Linked DNA regions of Rhinolophus ferrumequinum. The protein of the gene in region 1 purifies or fractionates together with the protein of each later gene. This does not show direct contact. Links are inferred from orthologs where the notes say so. Each region holds a gene or a part of one and is shown on either strand. Other genes may lie near its edges.

The links.
Region 2: the proteins of LRRK2 (region 1) and MYO1C purify together in Homo sapiens (affinity purification with mass spectrometry; 3 studies listed by BioGRID and IntAct, with this or other methods). This does not show direct contact. The link is inferred for Rhinolophus ferrumequinum from reciprocal best matches to the Homo sapiens genes LRRK2 and MYO1C.
Region 3: the proteins of LRRK2 (region 1) and TUBA1A purify together in Homo sapiens (affinity purification with western blotting; 4 studies listed by BioGRID and IntAct, with this or other methods). This does not show direct contact. The link is inferred for Rhinolophus ferrumequinum from reciprocal best matches to the Homo sapiens genes LRRK2 and TUBA1A.
Region 4: the proteins of LRRK2 (region 1) and SLC25A22 purify together in Homo sapiens (co-immunoprecipitation; 3 studies listed by IntAct, with this or other methods). This does not show direct contact. The link is inferred for Rhinolophus ferrumequinum from reciprocal best matches to the Homo sapiens genes LRRK2 and SLC25A22.

What each region holds. Positions count from the first base shown.
Region 1 is NC_046293.1:43,684,489-43,691,355, forward strand, and holds the start of LRRK2 (leucine-rich repeat serine/threonine-protein kinase 2), read left to right. Parts: upstream 1-3,862; 5' UTR 3,863-3,995; coding exon 3,996-4,149; intron 4,150-4,401; coding exon 4,402-4,487; intron 4,488-6,867. UniProt on the Homo sapiens protein: Serine/threonine-protein kinase which phosphorylates a broad range of proteins involved in multiple processes such as neuronal plasticity, innate immunity, autophagy, and vesicle trafficking.
Region 2 is NC_046304.1:16,397,335-16,404,505, forward strand, and holds the start of MYO1C (unconventional myosin-Ic), read left to right. Parts: upstream 1-4,157; 5' UTR 4,158-4,365; coding exon 4,366-4,440; intron 4,441-5,242; exon of another isoform or gene 5,243-5,380; intron 5,381-7,171. Other genes in the region: INPP5K (inositol polyphosphate 5-phosphatase K), read left to right, coding at 160-243, 412-516, 698-757.
Region 3 is NC_046293.1:50,213,396-50,221,218, forward strand, and holds the start of TUBA1A (tubulin alpha-1A chain), read right to left. Parts: upstream 3,003-7,823; 5' UTR 2,863-3,002; coding exon 2,860-2,862; intron 828-2,859; coding exon 605-827; intron 464-604; coding exon 315-463; intron 132-314; coding exon 1-131. UniProt on the Homo sapiens protein: Tubulin is the major constituent of microtubules, a cylinder consisting of laterally associated linear protofilaments composed of alpha- and beta-tubulin heterodimers.
Region 4 is NC_046294.1:475,794-483,562, forward strand, and holds the start of SLC25A22 (mitochondrial glutamate carrier 1), read right to left. Parts: upstream 3,011-7,769; 5' UTR 2,933-3,010; exon of another isoform or gene 2,706-2,932; intron 1,024-2,705; exon of another isoform or gene 871-1,023; intron 52-870; exon of another isoform or gene 1-51. Other genes in the region: PIDD1 (p53-induced death domain-containing protein 1), read right to left, coding at 3,536-3,794, 3,949-4,148, 4,252-4,365, 4,442-4,560, 4,633-4,756, 4,831-4,981, 5,062-5,197, 5,305-5,452 and 6 more. UniProt on the Homo sapiens protein: Mitochondrial glutamate/H(+) symporter. Responsible for the transport of glutamate from the cytosol into the mitochondrial matrix with the concomitant import of a proton. Plays a role in the control of glucose-stimulated insulin secretion.

The DNA.
Region 1 (6,867 bases):
TAGTGATCACTTCTTTAGGTATGTAACTGTTGAATAACTATGGTGTACATCTGAAACTAATATAATATTGTGTGTTAGCTATATTTTAATAAAGATCTTTTTAAAAAGCTTAAGAATGGGTATTCTAAGAGGAAAAAGGAACTATGGAGGCAGGTTTATTTTAAAGATCGTAGGACAAAATTCAGAGGTGAAGTGTTTCTGAGAACAGCACAGTATATGTCATGTAGATTGTCCTTTAACCTGAGGCATAAAACAAGAAGACTGCAGAAAACAGGTTAATAAAAGCTAAAATCACTATCTCAGTACCATCATTTTGGGGGCAGTTATTGCATACAGAGGGCATCAACAACTTTGGTGTCAGCAGAATTTGGCCACAATAAAAGGACCGGCCTGCTGCTTGGGAGGGACTGGAGGTGGTCTCTCTGGTTTAGGCAGCAATGCCTTCAGTCATTTAGTCAGCAGTAGTCACCTTGCTTTTGCTGTGGCAGAAACATGGGCAATCCCCCATTCACAAATATTTATTGACTATCTGCATGAATTCACAAGTTGTCGAAACTCTAAGGATAAAGTAGTGAGAAAAACTTATGGAGTATCATGGGGCTGATAATCTAATCAATGCAGAGCAGAAAAAAAATAAAGCTAGTTTCTACTCGGTAGCCAAAGAATACTTTGGGGGGTAGGGAGAGAGGAAGCACATGTGATATACATCCTGGGAACTTCAGGCATGTTTGGAAGAACATGAGGGCCTGACGTTGGCCCAGAGCAGGAGCTGACAGCTCCTGAGAACTGCTGTGTTGGCTGTGAGTCTCCATGGATCCCCAGTCTGGTGTGGCCAACAAAATGTGGATTGCATTTTATGATGTGCAAATTAACTGTGTAGGAATCCATGTGTAGTTCTCAGTTTTTAGAACAAGACTTCTCATGTTGTTGTTTTTAAGTCATGAGTTAAAGAGACTCTTATCTGAAGTTTCATTATGCTCTTAACCAAAGCAAATTCTAGTAACCACTGCAATTGATCTGGGCCTCAGACTTGCCACATCGTTGGGTGCTTTCTCTTTCTGTCTCCACAAAGTGATGCCTTTACATGGCCCAGTCCTTCCTGATGAGAATTGTCTGAGTGATACAGTTATGTGTTTGAATCTCAGCTCCGACTCTTAGGTAATTTATAACTTCTCTAACACTATTTCTTGAAAAATAGGAATAATAGCTGCCTCTTAGGGTTGTTGAGGTTAAACAAATTATACATGTAAAATGTCTTGCATAAAGTAGGATTCTGAGGTGCTCACTAAATTTTGTCTCCTTTTATTTCCTGTGTACCCACCTAACTGTGGCAAGAAATCCTTCCTGCTCTACATAATCATTGCTGAATGCTGAGGAAAACGGCTTTACGTTCACCCAGGATGTTTACATAATGCACTTGAGTGAGAAGTATGAAGAAGTAACACACACTGGAGAAGCGCAGTCACTCTCTCATGGTTAGTTCTACATTTGAAAGCTATGGTTTTTCCCTTTCCTTCTTTTTTTTTCCGCTATAGCAAAGTGCACAGGGCATTCTGTTTCCTCATACCAAACTATTAATCTATATATGTTCTTTTAAAAGTTATTTTCATTTAACTTTTTAATCCATCTGGAATTTGTTTTGGTGTCTGCTGTAATTATCAATGTCCATTTTACTTTTTTCTTCTCAGGAAGTTGGCCAAATGTTCCGACACCATTTTATTCTCCACTGAACACTACCTCTATCATGAATTTGTGCTTGTTAGCCTTCCTTTTCAGTCATGTTAATTATCTGAAGAGTTAATAAGTCTTGGATTTTAGTTAATCAATTAAGCATTTGTGAAAGCTAAAAGGGTACTTTGCCCTACCTCTGCAGTCCTGTGGGAGAATACTCCCAGCAGGGAATTCATGTTCCCACATCGCCGACCGCTATTCTGGCTAACATAGAGTAGGCAATAACTAGGCAATAGATGGAGGAAGGAATTGAGGAAAAGAAGACACACCTTTTTATTTAGTTTTCTTGGGAAGGAAGCTAGGTTTTGATATTTTGCAAGATAATAATCCAGTAGACTGGGAAGGAGAAACTGATGCAGGGGAATGGGAAGGAAAGCATGAAATGGAGAATCCTTAGGAATGCTTGAGATACTGATTGGTTTAGTCCGAAGTTGAAACATGTTCAGAAACCAGTTAGGAAAGGACATACTGCAGGTATGATAAAGATGACAAAGTTGAGAGTTTTTTGTTTTGTTTTCATTATGGGAAATCTTACACAGAAGAAATAGTACTATAGACCACATGAAGTCATTGCGTGTCTTTGACAATCATCAATTCGAAAGTTGGTATTGTCTCATCTCTACGTCCTCCCATTTCACACTGTTCCCCACCACTGGATTCCTTTGAAGCAAATCCTAACCATTCTGTCATTCCAACTGCAAATATTTCAGCATTTGTCTATAAAAGACAAAAAGTCTTTATGACAACAAAGCACATTCACAACATTCAGGTTGAATTTGAATCTGCAATTTTACTAATCTAGTGTATTAAGGAAGCCTAGCTCATCTTGATTAAAATGGTAAAGTGCAAAGATCCTATAACTGGGCTTTAGGAGACCTACCTGGGTTTAAGTGATGGCCCTCAACTTCCTATCGGTGAGTCCAACAACGCTCTTCTCTTATCAGCTCTAAATCTCAATTTCCCTGTTAGTAAAAGAAGGATAAGTGGCTGTCTTATCCATTTCAGAATTGTCCTCAGGATGAGGTAACAGAATTGAAAACAAACCATTCAAAATTGTGAAATATTAAAACTTTCAGTTCAGTCCTCTCCTTTGTCAATGACGCCCAGCACAAATCATCTAAAGGCAGTAGATGGTCTTTGTTTAGCCTTGTCTCCAGTGTTTCCTGGTAGATTTCTCTTTGTGAAAAACACATTACTTTGGTACTGTTTTTTGTTTTTTTAACGTTAGGTTTATAGATGCTCATAATCATAAGTAATTTTGAATGCCAAGAGAACAATGCCTTGATTGCTGTCTTTCACCTTTTCTGGTTTCACCTTTTCCTTTCAATTTACCCTGTGTTTCTCTTGTGCCCCAATTATCAGGATCCTACTGAGTGCAAACTCAAATTTTCAAAAGTTTATTTGGTGGCCTTTTGGCCAACAGAGCTTCAGATAATTAATAAAGAAAAAAAATTATTTCCTCCTTTACAAACGGCCACAACAATCATAGAAAAGTATTTAGATAGCCGTACTTTGATTACAAAAATCTCTTTCCATCCTTGAGGGGAAATTACTCATCTCCCCATAGGGGGAACTCTATAAAGAGAATGTTTTCCAAAAAGGGGCCAACTGGGCGGTGTCCTCTTTTCCCAACGCCCAGATTTCTATTCTTAGATCTGGAGATAGGAGGCGGCTTTCATTTTTCCTCTTCCTAGTTTCCAGACCTTCTGCGGGACTGAGGGCGCTCAGGCCGGCGGCTCGCAGCGGGTGACCGGCTAGGTTGCAGATTGCACTCCTCCTCCAGCCGCTGCTGGGCTCCGGGCCTGGGGAGTCCGCCGAGTCCCCTGAGTCGGTTTCTTCTTGCACGATTCCCGGCCGGACCGCCCCGGCGGGTGGGATCCGGTCTGTCGGGGCCCGCCCGGGGATCACGGTCACGGTCACCTCGGCCAGGCCCCGCTCAAGCTGCGTCCCTGCTGCCCGCTAAGGTTCTGCACAGCGCCTTGCCCTGGCGAGCCTCTCTCAGGCCCCTGAGCTCATTTTTTGGGCCTGGGTTGGGCAAGAGGAAGCAGAGGAGGAGGGCTCAGGGCTGGCAGGACAGCGCCGGGTGGGGAGCCGCCGCCTTCCTCATAAACAGGCGGGCGTGGGTGCGGATGGGGCGGGCGGGTAGCACGGGCTGCCGGCTGTGAGCCGTGCTCTCCTCGGGAGCAGTGACCCGCGCCGCTGCCCCTTCCCTGAGCAGACGGCCTTGGTGCGGGAGGGGCGGCCTGTTGGGAGCAGGGTCCATCATGGCCAGTGGCAGCTGTCAGGGGTGCGAGGAGGAGGACGAAGAAACTTTGAAGAAGTTGATAGTCAGGCTGAACAATGTCCAGGAAGGAAAACAGATAGAGACACTGGTCCAAATTCTGGAGGACATGCTGCTGTTCACCTACGCTGACCACGGTAATCATTTGCGAGGAAACTGTTCCTTTATTACACTCCCTCCCCCCGCCTCTTTTGCAAACTGTCTCCCCTACACTTTGCGCAAACGTGGACCCTTGGGAAGCCACAAACTCTACTCCTTAGGGCAAAAAGGAGCTGAGAATTCTCGGAAGGTATTGCGCTCACTTCTTTTGCTCTCTCCCCCTTTTTCATACTTAACGGGTGCTGTGAACCGTGACTTGGCTTCTTTTCCCCCACCCCCTTCTTTTCCAGCCTCCAAGTTATTTCAAGGCAAAAATATCCACGTGCCTCTGCTGTTCGTCTTGGACTCGTATATGAGGGTGGCTAGTGTGCAGCAGGTAAAGGAGTTGTTTTCATTTCTCCCATTTCCCCTTTTCTTTGGAAATACTTTTATGTCAATGTTATATGCCCAGAGCTCTGGGTTAGTTCTGAGATTTGGCTTGACATATCAATGACTGTGATTTTAAGATGGAAGCGTTGTCAAATCATTGTCAAAAGATAACTGGTGTAAAAGGGTCCACTGTGTGCTCCCTAATTGTCTTTAAGAAGTAACTTTATACAATTGACTGAATATGGATGGTGGTAAGGGGAATAATAATGGAGTGAAGTTGAGTTCTGTTATTGGCTACTTAAGTTCATCAGTGTTTAACTCAAATTGTTCTAAGAATCTTCCGAATGTACAGCATGCCCTAGAGATGACACCATTGTGAATAGTTTGCGAAAGGGGAATAATTAACAGTAATAAAATTAATAATCAATGAATAAAATGAAGTAACTTACAAACTTTCATAGGGTTAGGTTTTTTTTTTTAATTTGAAGATAGATTCTAGCCTTCTTTAGTTGTAGTATATCTTGTATTAGCTAAAGAAAGTGATTTATGATTCCCCTATAAGTCGATATTTTCAACCTTTTTCATATCATGTGAATCTAGAAGTGAAACTTAGAGTCTTCACCACAGGAAACCCATAAATTTGCTAAATACATTCGATATATCGAAAAAGGAGGCCTAACAAGATAATTAAGGATGATTTACAGTCAAAACAGCATTACTGCCTAACGTGTTAACTTCTTTTGTAGGTTTTGAGATTTAGAGAACTGAAATCAGTTTTGTCATTTGTCTGTAAGGTCCTGAAGGGAAAGATAATTGAACTTTGAACTCCACTGAGGTGCAGTCAGAAAGCCAATGTTTTAATACCTACTAGACAGATGTAAGAGTTATTTGGATCTCTAAATCTGTGTCTATCTACCTTTACCTTTATGATTATCTCTGTATCAGCTGTGTCTAATCTGGGTGAACCATATACTTAGCCTGTTTTATATGAGGATATTTATATCTGGGATAAATGGTTACTTTTATTTTTTTCAACTGAAGTATTTCCCATCTGACTTGATTTTCCGGTTGTTAGCATACAAAACCGAAAAGATGGAAGCATGATAAAGACACTGTCCTTTTTAGCACCCAAAGTCTGAATTTTGCCCATGAAATATGAGTCACTTTTTAGCACTGGTCCACTGTGCTTTCCATCCACATCGTCCCTGCTTACTTGCCTCGGGTGTTCAAAAGTCCTTGTCTGACAGCATCCTTGGATTCTATGCTTGGTAGAGTCACCCCTGCTGGGTGCCACTCAGAACAATTGGACCCTGAGTGGGCTTTGATCTGCAGGATCCAAAGAGGGCAGTGCTAGATGTCAGAACCCAAGGAGCTTGGAACATACTCACCACCTAATTCTTCATTTTCAGAACTGTGCAAGCTTGGGCATGTTTGTCTGGAGTAGTTATGAATATCACTCAATATCCTTGCCCAGGGGTTACCAGAGACAAAGTATGGAAGAAACTAAGGACTTGTCTTCTGATTTAGTCATTTAATGGAATAGAATTATTCGTTTCAGCACCATATGTGTATTAGTTTGCCAAGGGCATTATGTATGTTACATCATTTCATTCTCACTGGAATCTCACTGACCTGTCAGAAATCTCACTGTATATTTTTTCCTCAGAGTAAGTAGCTCATTTAGAATCACAGAGCTACTGATAGAGCCAGCACATACGTTCAAAATTTCTTTCCATCTTACAATCCACTACCTGCTGAATTCACATGCTTTTCGTGAAAGTAAAAACACAGTGGTTTGGTACCAATATTGTGGTTATGCTAGGTACAGTGACATTATCAATTTTAATTATCATTGGTCTTATCAAAGGGCTGTACAGATGGGTCTCTCACTGATATTTTAATACTTCACTTAAAAGAAAGTGTTTTTTTTCCTTCAAATTTCTTCATATTACTGGTGTAATTAATATAGATATCCTTTTGTTCTTTACATGTTGAATTAGCTGAAAGTGTTAAATGAAAGACTCGTAATCGAAAGTAAATATTAAGGTTTGTTTCCAGAATTCACTTAACATGATAGTCCAGACTCTGAATTTTTATTTTCAAGGTCTTTTCATATTTTATTCATGCTCCTTAATAAATGACAATCTTTAGAGGTTGGTAGTTAGGCTAGCTGTCCTAATACTTTGTTTTTTTCCTTCCAGTCATCTGACCATTTCTCTGTGCTCTTCAATTTTACATTACTTCTTTTTACCCACACAGTTCAACCTTTGAAGGGAGTGAAATAAATGAAGGTGACTAAATTTTTCTTTAATCCCTACACTCTATCCCATTGTGCATTAATTAGATCCTTGAGTTTACAGACTAATTATAATATAATAAAGTGAAAC
Region 2 (7,171 bases), on another chromosome or scaffold:
CTCATCCCAGGGTCCTTGCCCACCTAGGGGCTGGCAGTGAAAGGGAGGGGGCATACAGCATGATGGCCCGACCTAGAAATGAGACTGTCCTCTCCTTAGGATGTGCCGTAGGTCCTGGGTACTCCCAGACCACTGACCACCCGCTCCCCCCTCCCACAGGTGGGGTTTCGCCACATTAATGACTACGTGTGCTATGTCTGGGTCAAGGACAACGAGGTCTTCTTCAGTGACAAGCTGAACCAGGTACCTGCCCCCCTTCCTAACCTAGGTATTCCACAACTCCAGCAGCTGGGCTTGCCTGAGCGCCCCTCTGTCTTCTGGAGCACACAGAAGGCTGGATAACTTGTGGCTGAGAACTGGGTGGGACCCAGGCTTGGAACTGACCCCATTCCTGTCCATCCTCCCCTCCAGGTGTACATCAACATTAGTGATATCCCTGAGACTGAGGACCAGTTTCTCCTGTGTTATTATAGCAACAATCTACGTTCTGTGGTGGGGATAAGCAATCCCTTCAAGGTAAGGCATGCTGGTGGGGTAAGGAGAAGGGTACGCAGAACCCCTCATCCGTTCCCCGAGGCCAAGGGCCGAGGAGTCAACCCGTACCTGGAGCCGCAGCGGTTGGGGAATGGGAGTGATGGAACAGCGGAGGAAAATGTGCTCTTTCCCCTTCCACTCACTGCCTGTTCTATCCCTGCAGATCCAGCCTCACGCCTTCTTGGAGAAGGACCCACTGGGTGAAGCCCAACCACAGATCTGAGCTGGGATGAGAGGGAATCCAGGGCGGAGGCCAAAGCTGGCAGCCAGCTCTGCTCACCACTGTCAGGAGCACTAGGGGCCCAGCCCAGCCCCTTGAGGAGGCAGCAAGTATCCTTCACCTCCCAGGGGGAGCTGTGGCCACACTCCTGTGCTCTCTCCAGTCCAAATCTCTGGAATTGGCCACTTAAATACAGGTTTTGTTGCTGAGACGTAAGTGAAACCAGCTAGTTTGTCAACAGTGAAGACCTGGGGACAGTCCACCGGATGTGGCAAGGACCCTGCAGCCTGCATTTCATTTCTTGGTTTTCCCCACACACACACTTCCAGCCCTGCCCAAGCAGGCCTGCCAGGCACATGCCCCATCTGGCACAGGCCTGCATTCTTATCACGCCATCCTGGGCCTCAGGCTGCCTGGGAGGCGGAGACACTCACACTTGTACAGGCTCCATAGACTGGTTGGTGCAAACAGCACTGGCCTCCAGGAATCTTGGCATCTCATTGCCTAGCTCCCTAAGGAATGGGCAGAGGGTCTGGGATCCTTGATTTGAGCAGAAGCAGTAGGACCAAGTGGGCAGGATGGAGGGGCCCCTCTACCCAGGCTTTTCAGTAGGGGTTGTGGGCAGGTTTATGACTGTCCTTCTGCCTGCACCCTCCTGCCCCCCCTGGATCTGACCTAGGAAATTCCTGGGCCTGAGCAGAGCATTGGACCCAGGTTCACTTCTGCTGGTGGGTCAGGCTCCATGCCCCCAACCTGCCCTTTTGTGAAGGGTTGGCAGGTGGTAGAAGAGCTATGGCCACAGACTTTTCCAGGGTGGTCTTTGCTCAGTGAACCTCATCTGGCTCTATCCTTGCCTGTAGTCACTAGCCAGAAACCTGCCCTCCCTCTAGACGACTCCGGGACCTAGAAGTGGGGGCAGGTAGACAAGAGAGCTGGAATTAAGACGTTTTGGAGAATCTGGTTCTGGGGGTCTTTAGAGAGCATTCTCCAGGTGCTTTATGGATGTGGCTGTCCCTGCTCCTACCACTTGCCTGCAGCCACTAGTGGCTCGGTGGCCCTTTTCCCAGGAGAAGACACCTCAGAGAGCCTACTCTGTGACTCATGCCAATCCTACAACCCAAGACTAAAGAACACTCCAGTTCTAAGTTCCAAGAACTGTCCCCTGGCTTCCGGTGGTCCATGGCTGTGTTCTGTGTATTAACATGGGGGGATAATTAGAAACATGGCTTTTACCCTGTGTGTGACTCCTTCTTGATGGGGGGGGCACATGGTGACGGGCCCTTGCTGGACTCCAGGACGAGCGCCCTGTAGATCCAGATTGACTTCCTGTGTCTGAGTGGCAGGTGTCGCCTGGATGGCAATGGGATGAGTGTCTGGGTTCCTGGCCCACGTGAGGCGTGCTACCGTGTTTCCCCGAAAATCAGACCTAGCCGGACCATCAGCTCTAATGCATCTTTTGGAGCAAAAATTAATGTAAGACCTGGTGGTCTTTTACTATAAGACCGGATCTTTATAATATAATAACATAATACAATACAACATAATACCGGGTCTTATATTAATTTTTGCTCCAAAAAACGCATCAGAGCTGATGGTCGGGCTAGGTCTTATTTTCGGGGAAACACGGTACCTATTTAACTAGGCACTTAATTTACTCTGCTGCTAAATAGAATGGGTTGCTTAGAACTACAGCTCTCGGAAAAGGTGCTTACTCTGCTCTCACTGGCCCATCCCGCCTCAGCTGCCACCCCCTCACGCCTGAGTCTTGAGCATAGGTCCTGGGTTAAGCTATCCAAAAATGCCATCATTTTCCTCTGCCCCCCACCCCCTCTACCCCAGAGTTCCCACGGTAACCTCTATCCCTGCTCCCAACACACACCCACCTGAGGAACCCTCATCCCTTGCACTTGGCCACTTCATTCCTTCTCACATACATAACCATCATGGGTGCTGCCACATAGCACCCTTCATTTGGCAGACAGGGAAACCACAGCTCAGAAATGGTGTGATCCTTTTGAAGTTACACAGGCAGCAGTGGTGTCATGCAGGACCAGAAACACAGGAATTGAGTCAAGACCTGGTTTGGAATCTCCATCTCTACCAACACAGGAGTCTCAGTTGTCTGTAAAATACAAATAATGTACCTATTCACAGGATTATTGTGAGAGAACAATTGTTAAAAAAAAAACCAGAGCAACACTATTATACCTACCTGGGGCTGGGTCTCAGGGCTCCTGTCTCCAGGGTCCCATTTCTCCTGCGTGTGGAGTGTGCTTGTCTACACGCCCACCTCTCTCCTTCCCTCTTCAGTCTTCACTCATTCCTACTCCTGCCTCCGTTGCAGAGCCCCTCCCAGCCTGGCAGGGGTGAGTCCAGCAGTGATTGAGAGGCGGGAAGGGGAAGGGGGAGTGCTTTCCCTCATCTTGGCTCCAGTCAGGATATGGCCGCTCTGGGCCCAGCCCTGACCCGCTGGGTGGAAACAGGAAATGTGAGAGACTTGGTGTGTGCTGGGTCTCTGTGCCTGGCTCCAGGGCTGATAAGGGCCATTGTGTGGCTGCCGGGGATGAGCCTGCCCTGGATAGATGTGCTTCCCGGAGGAAGGAAGGAAGCTTTGCTGGTTTTTCCGGGGCGGGGGAAGCTGTGAGTAGGGAAGAGAAGGGTGCTTGGGGGAAGGTGCCTGCGGAAGGGGTTGTCAAGGCCAGCGCAGGCCACTGGACTCCACCCCTCCTATGCCAGCATTTCCCTTCGGAGGGTTCCTTTCTCCCATCCACTTCCCCCTTCTCACTTCCTATAAGGAATGGCTGGAGACCCAAGGGCTCAGCCCCAGGCCAAGAAAGTGTCAGCTGTGATTTAGCAACTATAATAAAGATAGAAAAATAGGAACATTCAGGGTGGGGGCACCTGAGGGTGCTAATGGAAAAGTAAGGCTTGAACAGGGCTAAGGCTGCCCACAGCCAAGGAACCCAGGGACTAACCTCCCACGCCAAGAGTTTGAGGCTCCAGAGGAGGGTGGGACGGGGCTCCTCACAGCGCCCTTGCCTTTCCAGTGAACCCCCTCTGCCCAACAAGGCCTGCCCCCAGCAGCCCTGACCTTTCAAACTCAAGGGGCTCACCTGCTGCTGTGGAAGGCAGACAAACTCAGAGGGGCTTGCAGGAGGGGCAGGGCCTACCGATGGATCCTCTTGGTTTAGGGCAGGATATGCATTCTGGTTTGGGGAGTGATCACCCTGCTCTCCAGCTGACACCAGTCCGTAGGCAGAGGGAGAGGCCTCCTATCCTTTGACCTGGAGCCCAGGGTCCCCCACTGGTGGCTGCATCAGCTGCTCTGGTTACCTGGGACAACAGGCATTTCCTCCATCCCTCAGCCCCTCCTCTTCCTGCCTCAACCGGCTGGGCCAAGAGGCCTCCCAATCAGACCTGGGTTGCTCCAGCTGTGTCCTGAGGAGCTGGACCAGACACATCCCCTGGGGCTAGAATTGAAGCTGAACCAAGTGACCATCCCAGCGTGAGACTAAATTCCTGGTTCCAGGAGCAGCCAGAGCCAGTGGGCAGGCAGGCAGGCTTCTGCTCAGAGGCCCCGGTGCTCAGCACGCTGGCTATCCACAGGCGGAATGGCACTGCAAGTGGAGCTGATCCCCACCGGGGAGATCATCCGTGTGGTTCATCCCCACAGGCCCTGCAAGCTTGTAAGCTGGGATGTTCTGGACTGGGAGGAAGGGTGGCAGTGTGTGCCCAGGGCCCAGCAGCCCTCTCTCACGCAAACCCCTTGGGAAAGAGGTGAGCAGTGGGGAGGGCTTCAGCTCCTCCGTGGGACAGGAACAGACTGGACAAAACGGGTAAATGGGAGGGAGGGGTAAGGTTTTAAGCGCCACTATTAAGCACCACTAGAAGCAGGGTTTTTCAAAGTGGGGAATCTGGGTTTGAACCCCTTCTTCTGCTCCCTGATCCTCAATAGGCTGGGCTATGAACTGGGCATAACAACATCTAGGTGACTGGGCTGCTCTGAGGTCAAAGGACCTGTACAGGTAAAGCTCTCCAGTGGCGTAATACAGGCTTGGTTAATGCCTCCCCATTCCCAAAGAACTGGGACTGGCCAGCTCAAAGCAGTGGTGTGGACTGGACGGAGATGAAGTGCGAGAGGTAGTCACAAACGTGGAACCGAGCTGGCCCAGCACGCAGGGTAGGGTCGGGTTTGCTCTGGGATGCTAAGGGGTCCTAGGATGAGAAGGAACCTTATCAGACGCACTCACCCACCCACCCAGCGCTGCAGCGAGTGGGCTGGGTCTTCCCTGGAAGCCGGTGTGTGTGTGACAGAGAGACAGAGACTGTGACGCGCCTTTTCCCGGGAGCTGGTTGCCGAGTGTAGTACCAAGTCTCCGCGGACGCAGACGGGGGCCAGGGCCAGGACCAGGGCCAGGACCAGGGCCAGGACCCGCCGGCGCGGGGTGGGGCGGGGCGGGAGGGTGCGCGCGCGCGCCCGGGTCTGGGCCCAGCCTGGGATGACGACAGGCAGCGGCCCGGCCCCGGGCGGGCCCTGGGCGGGGAGAGCGTGCCCGGGCCGCGGACTCCAGAGCCGGCCACGCCGCCCAGCCTGGCCCCCGCCCGCGCACCCAAAGAGCCGAGCCGGTGGGTACGCTGGTCGCGGGCGCGGGGCGGGCAGCAGACGCGTGGCCCCGGGAGGCCTCTGTTGGCGCGCAGGATGGGGGAAAGGGCAGGCGGCTGGGCGCCGAGCCAGGCCCAGAGCTACCGTGCGGGAGGCGGGGGTCGTGGGCCTGGGGATCGCTGGGGCTGAGGGTCGGCTTGGCCCGGGCGGTGCCGGGTCCCAGGACCCGATGACGCCAGGGCTCGGCCTGGTGGAGACTTGGATTACTTGCGGGTAACGTGAGGACTGCAAGGAGAGGCTGGGGTTCCGGGACCCAGGCACCCAGCGCGCCCTTTGGCCGGGCTCGGACTCTGCCTCTGGGTTCCGGAGAAGCCTCCCGAGCCCCGCCCCTTCCCGTTCCCCGCCCCCGGACCCCCGCACGCCTGGGCGCGTATGACTGTAGCGGATGGGGGGCTTTGAGATGAATGAGAGAATGAATGGCTGGCCCACGGCCTTATTCATCTGCCGGCATGCTCTGGCCTCCTGCTCTCCCTGCTGGCTCAGTGATTCATTCATGAACGCAGGCGTCCACGAGGGGTTATTGAGCCCCCACTGTGTCAAGCTGGGTGTATGTCCCAGGCAGAAGCAGTCTTCTGGAAGAGACTTGACCAGGAAACCAGCGATTAGAGCGTAATGCGATAAAGAGGGGCCAGAGTGTTGAGGGTAGTCAGGAAGGGGTTCTGGAGGAGGTGATACCTGAGCTGAGTCTTCAAGGATGACTAAGAGTCAGTCATTTGCGGAGGGGAAGTGTGCACAAGGGGAAGGAAGCTGCAGGTGCAGAAGCAAGAAGTATAGCCACGTGTGGCTAGTGGCAGGGGCTGGAGCAGCTCATCCTGGCTGTGTGTAGTGGTGAGACAGACATAGGGAGAGAAGGACTGGAAAGGGGCACCCCTGTGGTCACACAGGAACATAGGAGCAGTGCGGTAAACTGAGGACAGAGGGGGGCGCTGGAGTCCCTATGCCGGGGCCTGGCAAGAAGCATTGGGTATGAAATACAGGCTTGGCACATGGACTGGTGCCCTATAAACCTTCACATCTATTAACATGAGATGTTAATTGATCGGATTGTATTTGTAAATACCACAGGCTGCTGTGGGAAAATGGATTAAAAGGAGGAAGGCAGGGAGGCCAATTTAGAGGTTGCTGCCTGGTCCAGGAGCAGAACAGTGATGGAGGAGCACAGGGGAGGTTTTAGCAGGTAATGACTCCTTGATGTGAGGAGTGGAGGGAGGAGGGCCTTTTGATACCAGGTGGTAAAGACTAGCTGGAGGTGTCTCCCTTCCCTCTACATACAGGATGTTGAACAAGGAGAGTAGGTTAGGGGGCAAGGTGCTCTGTTTACTTCTACTGGACCACCAGGCAGAGGTGTCTGGCAGGCCAAATACCCACGGTTCTGGACCTAGATTGTACAGCCCTTGAATGGAGCCCTGTGAGCAATTAGATAGAGCCCCATCCCCCGTCACAACAGTTCCCTTGGGTCTGGAACAGTCCTTGGAGGGGCAGCCTGGGCCCAGACCTAAGATATGTTTGATAAATATAAATTGAGCACCTGTTCTGTTCCCAGCACTGCACCGAGGGTGAGATAGGCTATGGTTTTTTCCACTGCCCTAACAGGCTATGTGGCTGTCTCAGTAAAGATCAACTTATAGCAGTGATCTGGGGGTCCTTAGAACACCCTTTCCAGACTCACGAGGCCCTGGGCTGAGGGAACATTTGAGGCTGCCCATTGCCCTCTCCACTCCTCCGGAGGTCAGACTTGGGGGCACCTGGCCCAC
Region 3 (7,823 bases), about 6.5 Mb from region 1:
AACTCCAGCTTGGATTTCTTGCCATAATCGACAGAGAGACGTTCCATCAGCAGGGAGGTGAACCCAGAACCAGTTCCCCCACCAAAGCTGTGGAAAACCAGGAAGCCCTGAAGACCTGTGCACTGGTCGGCCTGTGAAGGAAGTAAAAAGAAAATGTAATTCTTCAACATCGGATACTTTTCAATTAATACAGTGAGCAGTGTATCTCACATTTGGGCATGCACCAAAGAAGGAATGCTATAGTTTGGTCTCTTCACTAAACTTGCAATGAATCACCTCACCCCATTTTAAGTATATTTCAAACTGGTACTCACCAGCTTCCGAATCCGGTCCAAGACGAGGTCAATGATCTCCTTGCCAATGGTGTAGTGCCCCCGCGCGTAGTTATTGGCAGCATCTTCCTTGCCTGTGATGAGCTGCTCGGGGTGGAAGAGCTGGCGGTAGGTGCCAGTGCGAACTTCATCTGGAAAAGGGAAACAAAGCGGCCACCCATCACTAACAACCCGCACAAGCTGCCCAACCCCAGGGCATCCACAGAGCCCCCAGGACACACATCCTGTCCCAGACCCCTGGGATCTCACTTGGGTTACGGAGGTCAACTCACCAATGACCGTGGGTTCCAGGTCTACAAACACTGCCCTGGGCACGTGCTTGCCAGCGCCTGTCTCACTGAAGAAGGTGTTGAAGGAGTCATCTCCTCCTCCAATGGTCTTGTCACTTGGCATCTGGCCATCGGGCTGGATGCCATGTTCCAGGCAGTAGAGCTCCCAGCAGGCATTGCCGATCTGGACACCAGCCTGGCCAACGTGGATGGAGATGCACTCACGCTGTGGGAAAGAAAAGAGAAAAATTGTAAAATTAGGTTGTTATCATTTTGAATTTTCAGTAGATTTCTATCAATGTTTCTAGTTATATACAGGTATTCTTCAAATTTATTTGAGGTCATATCCCTAACACAATAAGGAAAAGCACCTGCTACAAAAGCTGCAGGTGGGCGTGGCCTGAAAAATGTGGCACGGTACAGCGCAGAGTGCAAGTCTATTGTTCCCATGGCCATGCTTGAATAGAAGATTTTTCATATTTAAAAATATTCAAAACACAGATTCTGTAGAATGAAGTTTAATTCAATTATTAATTGGAATCAATATTACTACCTCCTTCCCCTTTAAATACAGATGAGAATTTCTTCTAAATATGACTGGGTATTTCCATATGGACATCTGTATTGCAGCTGAGGCTAGAAGCCACACCCTTTTGCAGTCTATCTGCAGAACCCATCTGTACTAGGGGGTTGGAAGCTAAGCAAGGGCTGACTCCTTGCACTGCTGCATTGCTGTATTTGCTGTGCCTGGTGCTAGCCTGTGCTGTCTGCTACATTATTTAACAGAGCAAGCTCTATTTCCAGAAACTACCCACATGATCTCATTGTGCCATTCTGCCAGTTTCCCTCCTCTGAGCCAGGCTGGAACCATACGCCTAAATTGAAATGAATTACTGAAATTCGCTCGAACAAAAGACAGCTGGACACAGAGTATAATTCTTCTTTGTCTGCATTAATTTCATTACTTTTTAAAAATTTCTCCAGAATTTTCTCCACTGTAGAAAAGTGAAAAATTATGAGTATCTTTAAAACATCAGTTCCTAAATTGAAAACAAACTATCACATGAGACGCTACCAAATAAACAAGAAAGTCCAGTGAAAGGATAATGAAATATTTATTTAAAACAAAATAGTACGTATTTTCATTCGTTCGATTCTCTACCCACCACAGAATGTTCATACTCATCACATTCAATAGATATTTTCTACTCTATGGTCTTTATGGCTACAACTTGCATTGTCTATCCATTGTCTATTCACTGATATGTGGGGGGGCGGGGCGTTTCCCTGGGTCCTGCGCGTTAGGGTCCCCTGGTTCACAAAGTGTCTTTCTCACTGAACATGTGGCCAAGACAGACAAACACCCAATCAAGTCCGCCAGGTCTGCGTAGCCCCGGTCCTGACCTTAAAGGACTTGTCAAGTGAATTGTGATTTTGCTTCTCAAGAAAAAACATTCCATCTAAGTTTTAGCAGTGAATGAAAAGCCTTGTAAGGCCTACAGTTCTACAACGATGAAAGACTTGAATAGTCTCCTCCTGACAGAAGAGAGTTAGCGAGAGCGAACCCCGCCCAATGGCTCCAAGGCCGGAGAAGCCAGAGACAAACAACTCCGCCCCTGCGCCGCCCTGACGCCGGCTGCCGCTGGCTCCAACAGAAACCAACCACTTTTTTCCCGTTAATACGCGGGTATCTTTCTAAAATGCCAACGAACCGGCAAGGGAACTTTTTTTTTAAACTAACCCAAGGCTCCGCTTTGTCTCAGCCGTCGTCCTCTCCCCACTCCTCCCAGCTAAACCCACAGACCCCGGGTCTTCTGGGGCGACGCCTCCTCTCCCTGCCCCAGGGGAACAGCGCGAGGAAGAAAAGAGCCTCCGATTCACACGCACACTGTGTGCAGGAGACGCCGCGATCCCCTTTCCCTGCTCCCGACCCTCTCGTCACCGACAGACGGGCTGCTTGCGCCTCTGAAGGCGCGGGATAACAACCGCCTCCACGCCGCCTTTGTTCTTCCCCAGGGTTCTGCCGCGCCCTCGGCGCAATTTTTGCCGGGCTCTTGCTTGCACCCTGCACTGCGGCAGCGGCCAGGCTCAAGGATTTGGGGCACACAAAGCTTAACCTCTCCAACAAAGCGTAAGGCGACCTACCCTGACCTAAAGAAGTTGTAAAGGAAAAGAGCTTAAGATTTTCCAAGCAAACCGTGGGGGGCTGACCCCACCCAATGGCCACAAAGAACCAGAGAGAACATATTCTTTCTTACCATGGTTGCTGCTTTGCGGCTGCCGGGTGGATGGCTGGGAGGAAAAGGTTGTTGCTTCTTACAGCGCGACTCTTAGGCGGTCGATGTAAGAGAACCTGCGGCACATGGGTGGATGCGGCTCCCTATATACAACTCGGTCACCATGGGGATGGGCTGGGGCCTTTTCCTGTTGGTCCAGACCCCTCAATCTGCCCAGAGAAGCCACGACAGAAGAGTGGTGATTGGTGCAAGCGACATGGGATGAGGTAATCTCTCCCCCACCCCTTTTTCCCTAGCATCCATAGACTGTTTGCATCCTTCAGACAAAGAGACTGAGCGAAAACAGTCAGCGGAGCATCCATTATGGGGTGGGGCTGAGGAGGGGGTGCAAAAGGGAAGAAAGAGAACAGAGGCTGGGATGATTTTATCATCAAACTACAACTAAAATCACCAATGTAAGGTTTTTCCCAACTCTTAGTCGCAGAATTTATGTTCAGATGAAATATTTAATGGAAAATTGCTCCAGTCTCTCCCTCAAAGTGTATGCTAAACTCTACCACATTCCGTGAGGAGTCAACATCGATAATTGCTTTAAACATAAAGTAGGAGAGAAGACGGGAATGATGCTTCAAATGGCTTGGGTAAATGTGTTTGTTTTAGTTTTTAAAAAGTTTAATAGTAGAGTCATCCAAAATGGTTTCTCAGGTTCAAGTTTTATTTTCAGATCTTCTTTTGTACCCCTTCCCAAATAGCCAAACAAAAACAGAAGATGGAAAGAATAACCATACTAAATATGGAAGCACTCAAGTAGTTCTAACGTGGCAATAATTACGCTCTAATTAACATACTGTAAATAATTTTACTAGAAATATTCCTTTACCAGAAGTCTATGTAATAGTAATTTGTGTAGTGTATTTTCCCTTAAAATGAATCATTTTTTTCCTGATATAGAACTGAGAAAATATAAAGAGAAAGAATTGAGTTCAGAAGCTAATACTACCTGTGCATGCGGTTATATTCTGCATTGTTCTCTTTCCTGGAATGAAAAAAATAACTGAGACACCAAATTAAAAAGGAGGAGAGCTGCACAATGTAAAAAGAAGACTATTTTGGAATGTTGCCTCCACGCACAGACCAGTCTGTGATGTCAGCTCAATAACTGCATTTCTTTTTTATGTAGTTCTTATCTGAATTTGGTAAATCTCCTCCTCCGAGATTAGGCTTCTAACTGTGGGAATTGCAGCCAGCCTCACACGCTGGCTATTCAACTAGAGACTGGTGGTTGCTCAATTGCCTCTTGGGACAAAAAGGCTTTGCTTTCACCCCCTAGGAAATGGATTGCAGTAACATTCTTTTGCTACTTTGAAAGGCTCCATTTTCAACAAGGAAGGGCTATGCAGAGTAAGACTCTGAACTGGGTACCACCTGACGTTGCTAATGAATTTTAAAAGATTAAAAGGTTTGTTATGGCCACAAAGTTGAAAATTTGTATTTTCCCTTCGGTTTTCAGTGACAGATTTTCAGGGTCTGCAGCACCTTTTGAAGTGCTCCGCAGAGCGCATTCATTCCTGCTGGGTTGACAGGCAGAGCCGGGCGTGGGAGGGATGGACTTGAGACAGCTGCTGCAGGTTGTGGTGTGACAATGGTGGCCGTGGATTTTTCTAGCCGGCTATCCACAGCTCTGCTTTACTTGTTCAAATTTCCTGCAGTAGAGTCTTCCCTCGGGGGAAAAAAAACAATACACAAATGATTCACTTCTTGCATATTTCATAGGAAAAATAATCTTCAACATCATCTTATCTTTCTTTAGCAAACAAAAGTATATTTCAGTAAAAAGACAGGAAAATTAAGGATAACTTGAATACTTCTTTCTGAATCCAGAAGTCCATTTAACAAAAATAAGAATGAAATGCCATGGGGGAGTGTAAGGATTAAATAAGTAGCTCATTGAAAATACTTCTTTCAAAATTTTAATAATAAAATAAATCAGACACTGCTGGACCTTGATAAAGTGTACAAATCTCATTTTGGAAATGAAGGGTAGTCTTGAATTTTATTTTCTTTACAGTATAAAAGAAATATGTCATTTCTCCAATAGCCTCAGTTCCTTATGCCATTTACACTGAGAATTAAATCAAAGAGAGAAGGGTTCATGTAGTTGATTCTTCTTTGTAATTCTATCTCAGAGCCATTCTGTTCCTTATGTAAATGAGGATTTTTTTTCTCCCCTTGGGCATAAGTAACAATAAGATCTAGGTCAGAAATAGACTATTTGAGCACTGATAATCTTAAATATATAAATGGGAGAGCAGGGAAAATAACTAATCTTTTTGTTCTTCATCTGATTTAATAGTATGCAAATTATGGGAGGCCAAAAAAAAAATGTTTTTACTAGTTCATTTCTCATTTTTACTGCCAATTTCTTTAACTTATATTAGTGTACATGAATAAATATTCTACTAATGGATTCATTCTCGTACACAGTAAGATTAGCATAAAACATTTTTTCCTTCATAATATTGTGAAATTTAAATTATTTATTTGTGTGTCTACGCCTCTTCTCCATGAAAATGTGACTCCTCGCCCCTGGCAAAGTGCCTAGCATACAGTAGAGGTTATATACATGTTTGTTGAATTAAACAGCTTCTCTGTTTAATTTCATTATTTTCATTATTATCATGATTAGTAATTTAAAAGTATTTAATAAAGTATTTTACATTTTTTTAATACAATAAGCATGTACTAAGTGTCCACAGTAAGCCCTGGACCATTCTATATGCTATGAGAATTCAGAGGTAGTAACATGGTCTCCTTTCCACCACACTCTTCCAATCTAATTAAAGAAATAAAACAAGTACATGTATATAGGTTTGAGAATGCATGTGTTTGTGTGTGTATGAGGGAGGATCATAACTTATGTGGGAAACAAGAGAGGTGTCTAACACTTTTTTCCTACTTCTTCACCTCCTATTTATCCCTAAATCCATTCCAGTCTGGATTCTGCTCCTACCATTTTTAAAACCAAATGGCTTCCATGTTTGTTGCTAAATCCACTGGATACTTTTTAGTTCTTTTTGACCTGTGAAAGCTTTGTCACAATTGACTATTATCTCTCTTTTTTTCACTTTGGAAATTTTTTTTTTAATTTTACTGAATTTATTGGAGTACATTGGTTAATATAATTATGTTTCAAATGTACATTTGTATAATACATCATCTGTATATTGCATTGTGTTTTCCACCCAAAGTCAAATCCCCTTTCACCCCCATATATTTGATCCCCTTTACCTTTGTCTACCTCCCTCCCACCCCCCTATTACCTATTTCTTGAGACACTTTCTTCCCTTGGCCTCAAAAACTCTACATTTTCTAGGTTTCTTTTCTACATTTTTTGTTTTTTTCTCAGTCTCTGCTGTTTCTTTCTCCTCTCCTAATCCTCACATGTTGAAGTTCCTCAAGGATCAGTCCTAGACCTTTTCCTCATTTGATTCTATGCGATTTCATCCACTCCTAGTGGATAGTAAGTGCACTCATTCCGAAGGCTGCAGATCCTTTCTGTATGCTAATGACTTGTTGACATCTCTTCTTAGATCCAGATTATATCATAAACTTTCAATCTCTGGCTGGATTTCTCACAGGTATCCCAAATTGAACGAGTTGTCTTCAGTAGGTGCAAACATGCACCTCCTACAAGGTTCTTTTGCTCAGTAAATGGAGCAGCATACACCTGGTTTCTTACATCCGAAATGAGAATTATTCTTGACATCTCCCCTTCCTTTCTGACCACCATAGACTCAGTCACTATGTCCTGTCAAGTCTACCTCCTAAATGTGTCTCAAATCTTATTCTTTTCTCTCCATTTCTACTGCCTCTACTCTAGTAAGTACATCATCTCTTGTCTGGACAAACTCAGTGTCCCCTTATATTTCCTCTACATTCACTTCTACCCCTGCCCAGTCCAGTCTCCACACAACAGCCAGAGTGATCTTGTATATATAATATAATGTAATAGATTATGTCACTCTACTGCATAAATCAGATTAATGGCTGCCTGTTAGTTTTAAGATGAAGATCCCAAATCCTTAATATGGTTCCTTCAATTCCATAATAGAAGTAAATCTTATATTTATTTAAAAATCTCCGAGAGGACATATTTTTTTAAATTACATTAAAATTCAGATAATTTCCCAAGTTGATTTTGATAGGGAGAAGGGAGGCAAAGGGATATAAAAGCTGAATGTTCACTTAATAATTATTTGTTATGCTGTAAAGTTGTGTTTTATGCATTTTTGTATTTATGCAATTTTTATAATAAAACTTTTAACAACATAAACCCATGAGTTCATAAAGATATTCCCACAAAGGAAAATGAAAATAAAAAGGAGAAAGAAAAGTGAATTAAAAATAATCATCTGATACCATTGTACTTTAAATAGGGAAAATAATATTAGCAAAGAAATTGACTTGGGCATACAAAGGAATTATGAGTAATGTGTTTTATGGGGAGAGTGGAGCTAGTTAAAGCATTTTGAACTCCAGTCTGAAGGGGTTTGGGCTTGAGTCAATAGACAGTGTGAAGCCTTTATAATTTTAGGAAAAAAAAGGAAAAAGGGAAGGGAACAGCATATTCATAAAATTAATCTGACAGGTAAGTGGAATAGGGAAAGAGACATGTGATAAGGGGACCAATAAGGAGGTTATTGCAATAATCTAAGCAGAAGGTGTCAGACCATAGTAATTACAGTGGGAATGGATAGAAAGAGATAATAGAAAAGACCATCTGAAGGAAGAATTCCAGTGGTGATTGGTTGGACATGAGGTAAAAAGGAAAGAGTCAAAATTAACCCTTAAACTTTGGAACCTGAAGAACTAGGAAAATGAAACGGTAATGGTGCTCTTTACAGAAATAGGGACTTTGAGAAGAGATGCAAGTTTGATCAGGAAATGTGTTGGTGTATGTTGTGTTATGGAGAGGGTGTTGAGGG
Region 4 (7,769 bases), on another chromosome or scaffold:
CACAGCACCTGCTCACGCTCACACTCACGTGCACAGGGAGCACAGCCTTTAAAGGGCCAGGCACCTGGAGAGGAGGCAGCGGCAGGGGCAGGGGTTGGCAGGAAGGGGCCAATTTGCCAGCTGGGGCTCCTGGACCCTGGACTGGGCTGCAGCTCCGCCCCCACCTTGGGCAGAGGCAGCTGGGAGGGCCTCTTCAGGAAGCGGTTGGAGTCTCTTCACGGGCTCCTTCCTGGCGCCCCAGGAACCCCTACCTGGGCTCAGCTCACAGCTGCCCAGGGAGACGCTGCCACCTCAGGTGCAGCCCCAACTCCCTTAGCAACTCCACGCTGGAACCCCGGACATCCCCTTCCCTCCGACAGGCACCATTCTCACCCACACTCAGCCCTGCCCTGCCTCCACCGCCCTCTCCACCCCTCCCAGGAATTTCATTCCCAGACAGACACACACACAAGGACCTGTGACCAGGACCTCTGGAAGCCTCAGGGGTGTGTGGGGGCACAGGGGCGGGTCAGCTGACCTTCTGAGGCTCCCTGTAGTTGGTCCTCTCATCTACTCTAGGGCCCTGGGAAGAGTCCCTCTCACTAGGAGCAGGGCTAGGGAGCCAGAGCCAGCCCTGGGGGCCTCCCATGGGAGGCACAGCCATCAAAACTGAGCTGTGGGGGCCTCCCGCCGCCTGGCCCCCGCAGAGGCCAGCTGTCACCGGTTAGCCAGCAGCACCGCCATGCAGGGTCACCCAGCTGGCTCACAAATGCGGTCCCTCTGAGGACTGATGACCTTCACCTCCACTTTCCCAGGCCAGGCCTCACGCCCTCCCCACGCCTGCCCACCCCCACTAGACCCCACCATCCCTGCTGCCTCTGGTCCGCTCACCCGAGGTGCACAGAGCTCGCTCCTCTGAGACCACAGCCTGCCGGCTAAGCTCACAGAGACCTAGCGCTGAGGGAGGTGCGGCCACGGGGATTGGCCGCGGGGATTGGCCTCCGGGCGGGGCGGGGCGGGCCTGGGAGGGGACGACTTTCTCTTTCACTTTAGGTTCCCTTCAGCTGTGGGAGAAGGGATGAGAAGGGGTGTGACAGCTTCTGGGAGGCACGGCTCAGCCTCAGAGCCCCCACAGCCCCCAGGGCAGCGAGTCCAACTCACAGTGATCCAGCCAAGCCAGGCCACCTGCCCCGGCTGCCCCACGGGTTCTGCAGCTTGCAGGCTACCTTTATAGGGCACTGGACCCCTGAGGACGGGCCTTTCTGTGCTCAAGCCCCCATGGGCTCTGCTGGGGAATGGGAGCCATGGGGTGGAGATGGGTTAGGGCTCACACGTGTCTGTGGGACTCGAGTGTCCTTTGGGGGAAGGTACATTTCAGGGAAACCTGGTGATGGGTTTCAGAGGAAGACACTCCTGTCCACTGGAAAGGACAAGGAAGGGGTGGCTGGCTGTCAGGGGCCACTGGCTGCCACCCGCAGGCCTGCTCACCTGGCAGGTCCACAGATCACATGAACCGGCACTCCCTGAGCCCTCTGCCCTGCCAAGCCCCCTCCCCCCCACACACACCCTGTGTCAGGGACCTGCTTCTCTGTGCAGCAGCCTGCACAGTAGTCTGACCTCTGAGCTTCAACCTGACCTCCCTCCCCACCTCTACCACCCCACCCTCCTGGTATAGACTGGCCACCGTCAGCGCTCTCTGCTGCCCAAGACCCTTAGGGGCAGAGGCTACATCCCGACTCTGGTCTCCTGGGTCTTGCCCTGCCCTCTGGGGACTGAACAAACACTGACTCCCCTAGCGTCACCAGACCCCACCTCCTGTCTGGGGTTAGGGACACGTAGATGACAGGGGTCCCGGAAGTCAGACCACCTAAGATAGGAAAGGGAACAGTTGTCCCAGGAAGAGAGGCAGGCCTGAGAAAAGAGTCAGCCCTGGGGCTGGTGTCACAAACTGCAGGCTGGAGGGGGAAGGCCCCACCAGGAACAGTGAGAGTGAGGGGGTCTGCCTGGGGAGGACGGGAGAGATGTCCTCTGGACCCTGAGTACCCCCTTTTCTGTCCTCACTCCGTGGTTTCCACCCCTTGCTTATGAGACAGCTGTAGAGGGCCCTCCCTTGCACCCCATGTTGCCATAGAAACCGGGCAGCCCCAGCCAGGACCGAAGCCCAGGGTTGGCAACCTTCACTGTCCACCCTCTGCTTCCATAGTTAGGTAACCAACCCTTGGGCCATTCAGGCTGTGGACAGAGAGCACCTACTGGACGATGCTTCTGCTTCCAGACCCTCAGGTAAAATCTCCCACAAATGAAGCCGCTTTGCTCATCCACCCCCAAGAAACGCGATGAGGGTGAGGCTCAGAGTCTGGGACCGGCCACTGGCTCCCCATTCCACCTCCCCCCAGTCCCTTTCCCCTGGGGAGGTGCTTTCTGTCCTGCCGGCTTAGAGGGGCCCCAACTCGGTAGACAAAAGAGGCAGGACGGGTGGGGGCCCCCCCGAGCTCCCCTCGGAGGCGGGCTCAGCCCTGTCCCGTTGGATGAGGTCCAGACGTGGTCCCAGAGGGCCACGCTGTCCTCCGCCAGGCGATGGCGACTCAAGCCACGCACGTGTCCACACACGTCCGGCGGGGTCCCACGTGTGCCCCCCTCCGACACATACACACACACACACACACACACACACACACACACACGGCCTGGCATCTGCTCTCTGGGCTTCGACCTCAGGCTCCTACCTCGCGGGGACACGTGCGCAGGGAACGCGTCCGTCACCGCCCGGGGCCGAGCACGGCCTCCCACACCCGGGTGGCAGCGGATCCGCGCATCCGCCGACCGGGGCCCCACCGGAGCCGCCTCGTCCAGGCAGTTGTCACCTCCCCGGGCCGCCTCCGCGCCCCTCTACCCCGCAGCCGGACCGCACTCGGGTGGGCGCAGTGGAAGGGAGCGGCCAGCGGGCACTCACCGCGCTCTGCCACCGCCGCCGCGCTCGCCTCCCCGCCGCGCCGCGCCGCGCACCCCGCTGCATAGGCGCGTCGGCCCGGCGCCGCGCGCGCTCCGCCCCCGGCCCTCGGCAGCACGCGCGCTGCGGCTCCCCCTCCTGGCCACCGCGGCCACTACTCCGGGCCGGGCCGCAGCGCCGGGCCGCAGCCCGGTGCCAGCGCGCACCGTGGCCAAGCCGCGGGTCCCCAAGAGCCTGCATGGCGGGGACCCAGGGATAGTCCCATAGGGCCAGAGGGTGGCGAGGAGCGCTGGGACAATAGTGTCCTACGGGAGAAGCGTGCGCCACACAGTAGAGCTCCGAGGGAACTAGGCTGTAACAGCCAACAGGGCAGATGCATCCTTTACTTTGTGGCACGGCTCCCCTCCCTCCCAGGGAAGGTCAGGACACATGGGAGGGCCAGGGGCAAGGACAGGCCTCTGGTCTCCACCCAAAAAACAAACCAAACTGAGCTCTGAGACAGCAACCAGCACACTGCATGTTTGTTACACACAGGGAAGGCTTGAAAATGGGGGCCTCTGTGCCCCAGCCAGGGCACACCAGGGGCCAGCCCAAGGTTGGCAGGGTCTAGGCCTGGACAGGCTCTGGGGACTTTGATGCTGAAGGGCCAGTCGGGGCAAGGCCCCCAGGGGCCAGGCTTGTGCGCCGGATGCCATCCTGGTACTTATGGCGGCCGAGCTCCAAGACAGCCCGCACCTCTTCGGCCACGTCACGCCGGTCGCTCTGCTCCAGGGCCTGCATGAGGAGCCCCACAGCCCCTGGCTGCCCAGCCTGGCGTTCAGCCCAAGAGAAGAGCATATGTCGGATCTGCCCATCCAGGTCATCCCTGGGGAGAGAGGGGCACGGTGACTGAGGGGCCCAGCCCAGGGCCACCACACCCAGGGTCCTGCTCGCCCACCTGCCCTGGACGGAACTTCAGCCAGCCTCAGGTAGGGCACCCCAGCAGCTGGGCTGGCAGCGGGAGGCTCTAAGGAACCCACCGGAACTCATGCCGGATGCGCTGCAGCTCCTGGTAGGACACGCCCAGGTGCAGGGCCACCGTCGGCCAGTCTGGGCCCAGGCGCCCGGCCACACTCAGCAGGTTGCTCTGGGTCAGGAAGCCGGTGTCAGCATCACCCAGGTTCAGAGGTGCCAGGGAGAGGTTAGCCCTGTGGCCCAGCCCCTCAGAGCGGGGCAGTTTCTGTGGGAAGGATGGCTGCAATGAGTGCTGACCCCCCTCACACACACACACACACACACACACACACACACACACACACCCTGCTCCCCGTCCCCGGGCCCACCGGCAACTTGATGGGCAGAGTGGCCATCCACAGGGCATCCACACCCTTCCTGTGCCGGGCGGCTGGCACCTCCTCAGGCACCTCGCCAGGCACTGCTCCCCGATAAAAGGACACCTGGGACAAGATGAGACAAGGTTCAGGGCTTCAGCCTCTGCCCAAGCAGCCCGGGGCCCCGACCCCGTGTGCCCACCTGGCCCCGCACGGCCTGGGCCTGCCGGTCTAGGGTGGTGGTCACATACACCTCCTTCACGTTCTTCAGGTGTGAGTAGAACACGAAGCACACTCTGCCCTCCACGCAGTCGGGGCGGTCTGGGGGCGGGAGGGGGGCTCAGCAGGGGGCCTGGCGCAGACCGGGTCCCCCCTCCAGGGGTGGGGGCCTACCGGCATCCACGTCGATGCCCCTCTCGAAGGCAGCAAAGAATCTCTCGCCCTCAAACATCTCCACCGTGTCGGAGGGCTCGGGGCCGCGGTACCGTTCCAGCAGGCGTCGCAATGTGGCATCCACCTGGGGGCACCCTCGGGCTAAGAGCCGACACTGGGCACCCCCAGCCCACCCCCCAGCCCACGGCCCGGTCCCACCTTGCTGCGCGGCAGGCACTGCAGTAGGATCTGCTCGGGATCCCGGCGTCTCTGCAGTGCGATGAGGTTGACATGGTGGAGACGCAGCCGCCGCCAGGCCTTGCCCGCCAGGTGCCCCACACAGGCCTTGGTGGTGTACCACAGCCAGTACCTGGGGGCTGGGGATGAGGGGGGGGCTGAACACGCGGGGCTGGGCGGGGAGGGGCTGAGGAGGCTGGAGGGGACACTGACCAGGAGAAGTGTGTGACCTGGAAGCGAGCATACAGGTGGGTGAGCTCGAGTGCCACCTGAGCCGTGATGTCATCCCAGGTGGCTGCAGGAGGGGCACGGTACAGCAGGTGCAGGCGGGAGCGGTCCAGGCTCAGGCCTAGGGATGGAGGGGATGGCTGAGGCCTCCAGAGCAGGGGCTCCCCTTCCGAGCACTGCCCCCACCCCATGGCCACGAGTGTCCTATGCCACATGGCCACCTCTTACCTGTGATGCCAGGGGGCAGAGGCAGCTGCACGGTGATTGGCTGGAGGAAGCTGGAAGGGCCACTCTGGGAGAGGCACAGCAGGGGGCTCACAGCTGCCTCCGGCTCCTGCAACAGGGCCTGCAGCTCCCTGGCCGCCATGCGCACCACCTGGGCAGACAGGCCGCCTGAACTCATGCTTTTGTGCCGGAGAACCACTCGCCACCCTTGGCAGCTGCCCTGCCCTTACTTGCATGCGGACGTGACGAGGCTCCTCTGTGGCTCCAGGGGGAAATGTGACCTTGACCCCAGGATGCCCCGAGGAGAACAGCAATGTCCCCTCTGGTGGCACCAGGCAAGCGTTGGACACAGGGCGTGAAACCACAAGGAACCATGAGAAGTGGGGTACCTGGCAGTGAGCCCAGAGCCGCTGGGCACGGCGGAAGGGTCAGAGGGAACAGGGTCAGAGGGTCCGGACACAGCTCCTGCCCAGGGCTCCTTCCTAGGCCACCCTGCACCTCCCTCACCTTCGGCGCCTCTTCCTCCAGGTGGGTCTCCAGGTCACTCCAGCTGTCGTCACTCAGAGTCCTCACCACCACCTCACGGCAACGCCGGGACCGTGGGGGCACGAAGAGCAGCCACAGGCCTACCTCCTGCCACACAAGGGTGCTGTGAGTGCCAGGGCCATGCCTGGCCCTCCTCACCTGCCCCCAACCTGCCCTGGCCGTGCCTGCTGGAAGGCCACCCCATGGGGCTGCAGTTCCAAGACACCACTGAGCAAGGAGTCATGGGGACCCAGGGGGACGAGGCGCGGCTCCGGCTGCCACTGTCGATAGCGGATGGTGACAGAGGTAGTAGTGGCACCAGCAGGAAACTGCAGGCGGACACCGCAGGCCAGGGTCACAGAGCAGCCTTGGGGGGTCACGGGGAAGCTGAGTGAGGACAGGATGGGCATCAGGTCAGACACACAGGGGCATGTATGTCTGAGCCTGGCACCCCTGGGGACTCAAGGAGAAGACCCCCGAGCACGTGGACAGGGTGGCTAGCTGTTCCTCCAGCCCCACCCCTCCCCCACCCCATACCTGTCCAAATCTGAGGTCAGGAACAGTCTGGGCATTTCTGGGACCATGGGTGTCCCTGTGGAAGGACAGAGAGATTGTTAGGATAGTGACGGTACCTGTGTCCTGTTGGTGATCTGCCCTCCCCAGCGACAAGCCTACCTGGGGGACTGTGGGAGTCTGGCAGGGCCTTGCCCAGAGGGTTCCCCTGCAGGCGCACAAAGGGGGCGTCCAGCAGCTCTGGGGGCACGTCCCGAAGCTGGTTGTCCCTCAGGTCCAGCCGGGTGAGCAGTGGGAGGCGGGCCAGGCCGGCGGGCACAGAGGCCAGAAGGTTGCTATGCAGAACAAGGAGGCGCAAGGAGCGCAGCCCCGCTGTGGGCCGGCGCTGGCTTAGGGCAAGCGGAGGGCCAGTCAGTGCCACCCAGGCCCAGAGCGCCAGGGTGCTAGGGCCTCCCTGGAAGCCCTTGTGGTTGTTGCCCCATGGCCAGACACAGAGTTCGGCTAGCCTGCACAGGGAGCCTCCGAGGCCAGGGCAGTGGGGGTGGGGGGCAAACAAGACCACTGGGAGGAGCAAAGGCTCAAAGGTGGGCCCCGTGGAGGACGAGGGCCCACATGAGAGCAGAGGCTGGACACTGGCTGAGGGACTCCCCAGCAGGCCCTGTGCGCCAAGGAGGGAGATACTGGTACTCACCAAGGGAATCCGGGAGGCTCTGCAGCCGGTTGGAGGCCAGACTGAGCTCAGCGAGGCTGCTCAGGCCTCCGATCTCGGGGGGCACACTGTCCAGGAGGTTCTCCGAGAGATCGAGGCGCTGCAGGGTGGACAGGGCCCCCAGTGCTGTGGGCAGCGCTTGCAGGCGGTTGTGGGTCACGGCAAGGAAGGTGAGGGTGGGAAGGGCCCCCAGGGCCTCAGGCAGCTCTGAGAGGTGGTTGTGAGAGAGTAGCAGGGCACCCAGGCCACGCATCCGCGGGACGCAGGCCGGCAGTGTCTCTAGGCTGTTGAAGCTCAGATCCAGGTGGGCCAAGCGTGCTAGGCCACTCAGTATGGCGGGCAGTGTGGTCAGGGAGCCCCGGAGGCAGGCACCCAAAGCATCCCGGCGTTGCCCACCTGGGAAGGGGAGGCAGATGTGGCCCAGTCCCAGTTCCTAGCTTGGCCCTGTCCCCAGAGAAAGAGCTGCGGAGGGAGGTACAAACCCGCAGTCCCACCCCACCCAGACAGAGACACATAGCTGCAGGGGATGGATCAAGGTGGCATCTGAGACCGCAGGCTCATCCCAGCTACAGCCATCACCCAGGACCCCCAGGAAAAACATGCACACTGGGTCTGCTGGGAGAACGCACTGGGCAGCTGCACATTGGGGGAGGAGGGCTGGATAACAACACATTGGGGGAGCATCACATTGGGGGAGGAGGGCTGGGCAGTGCTGTGTGGG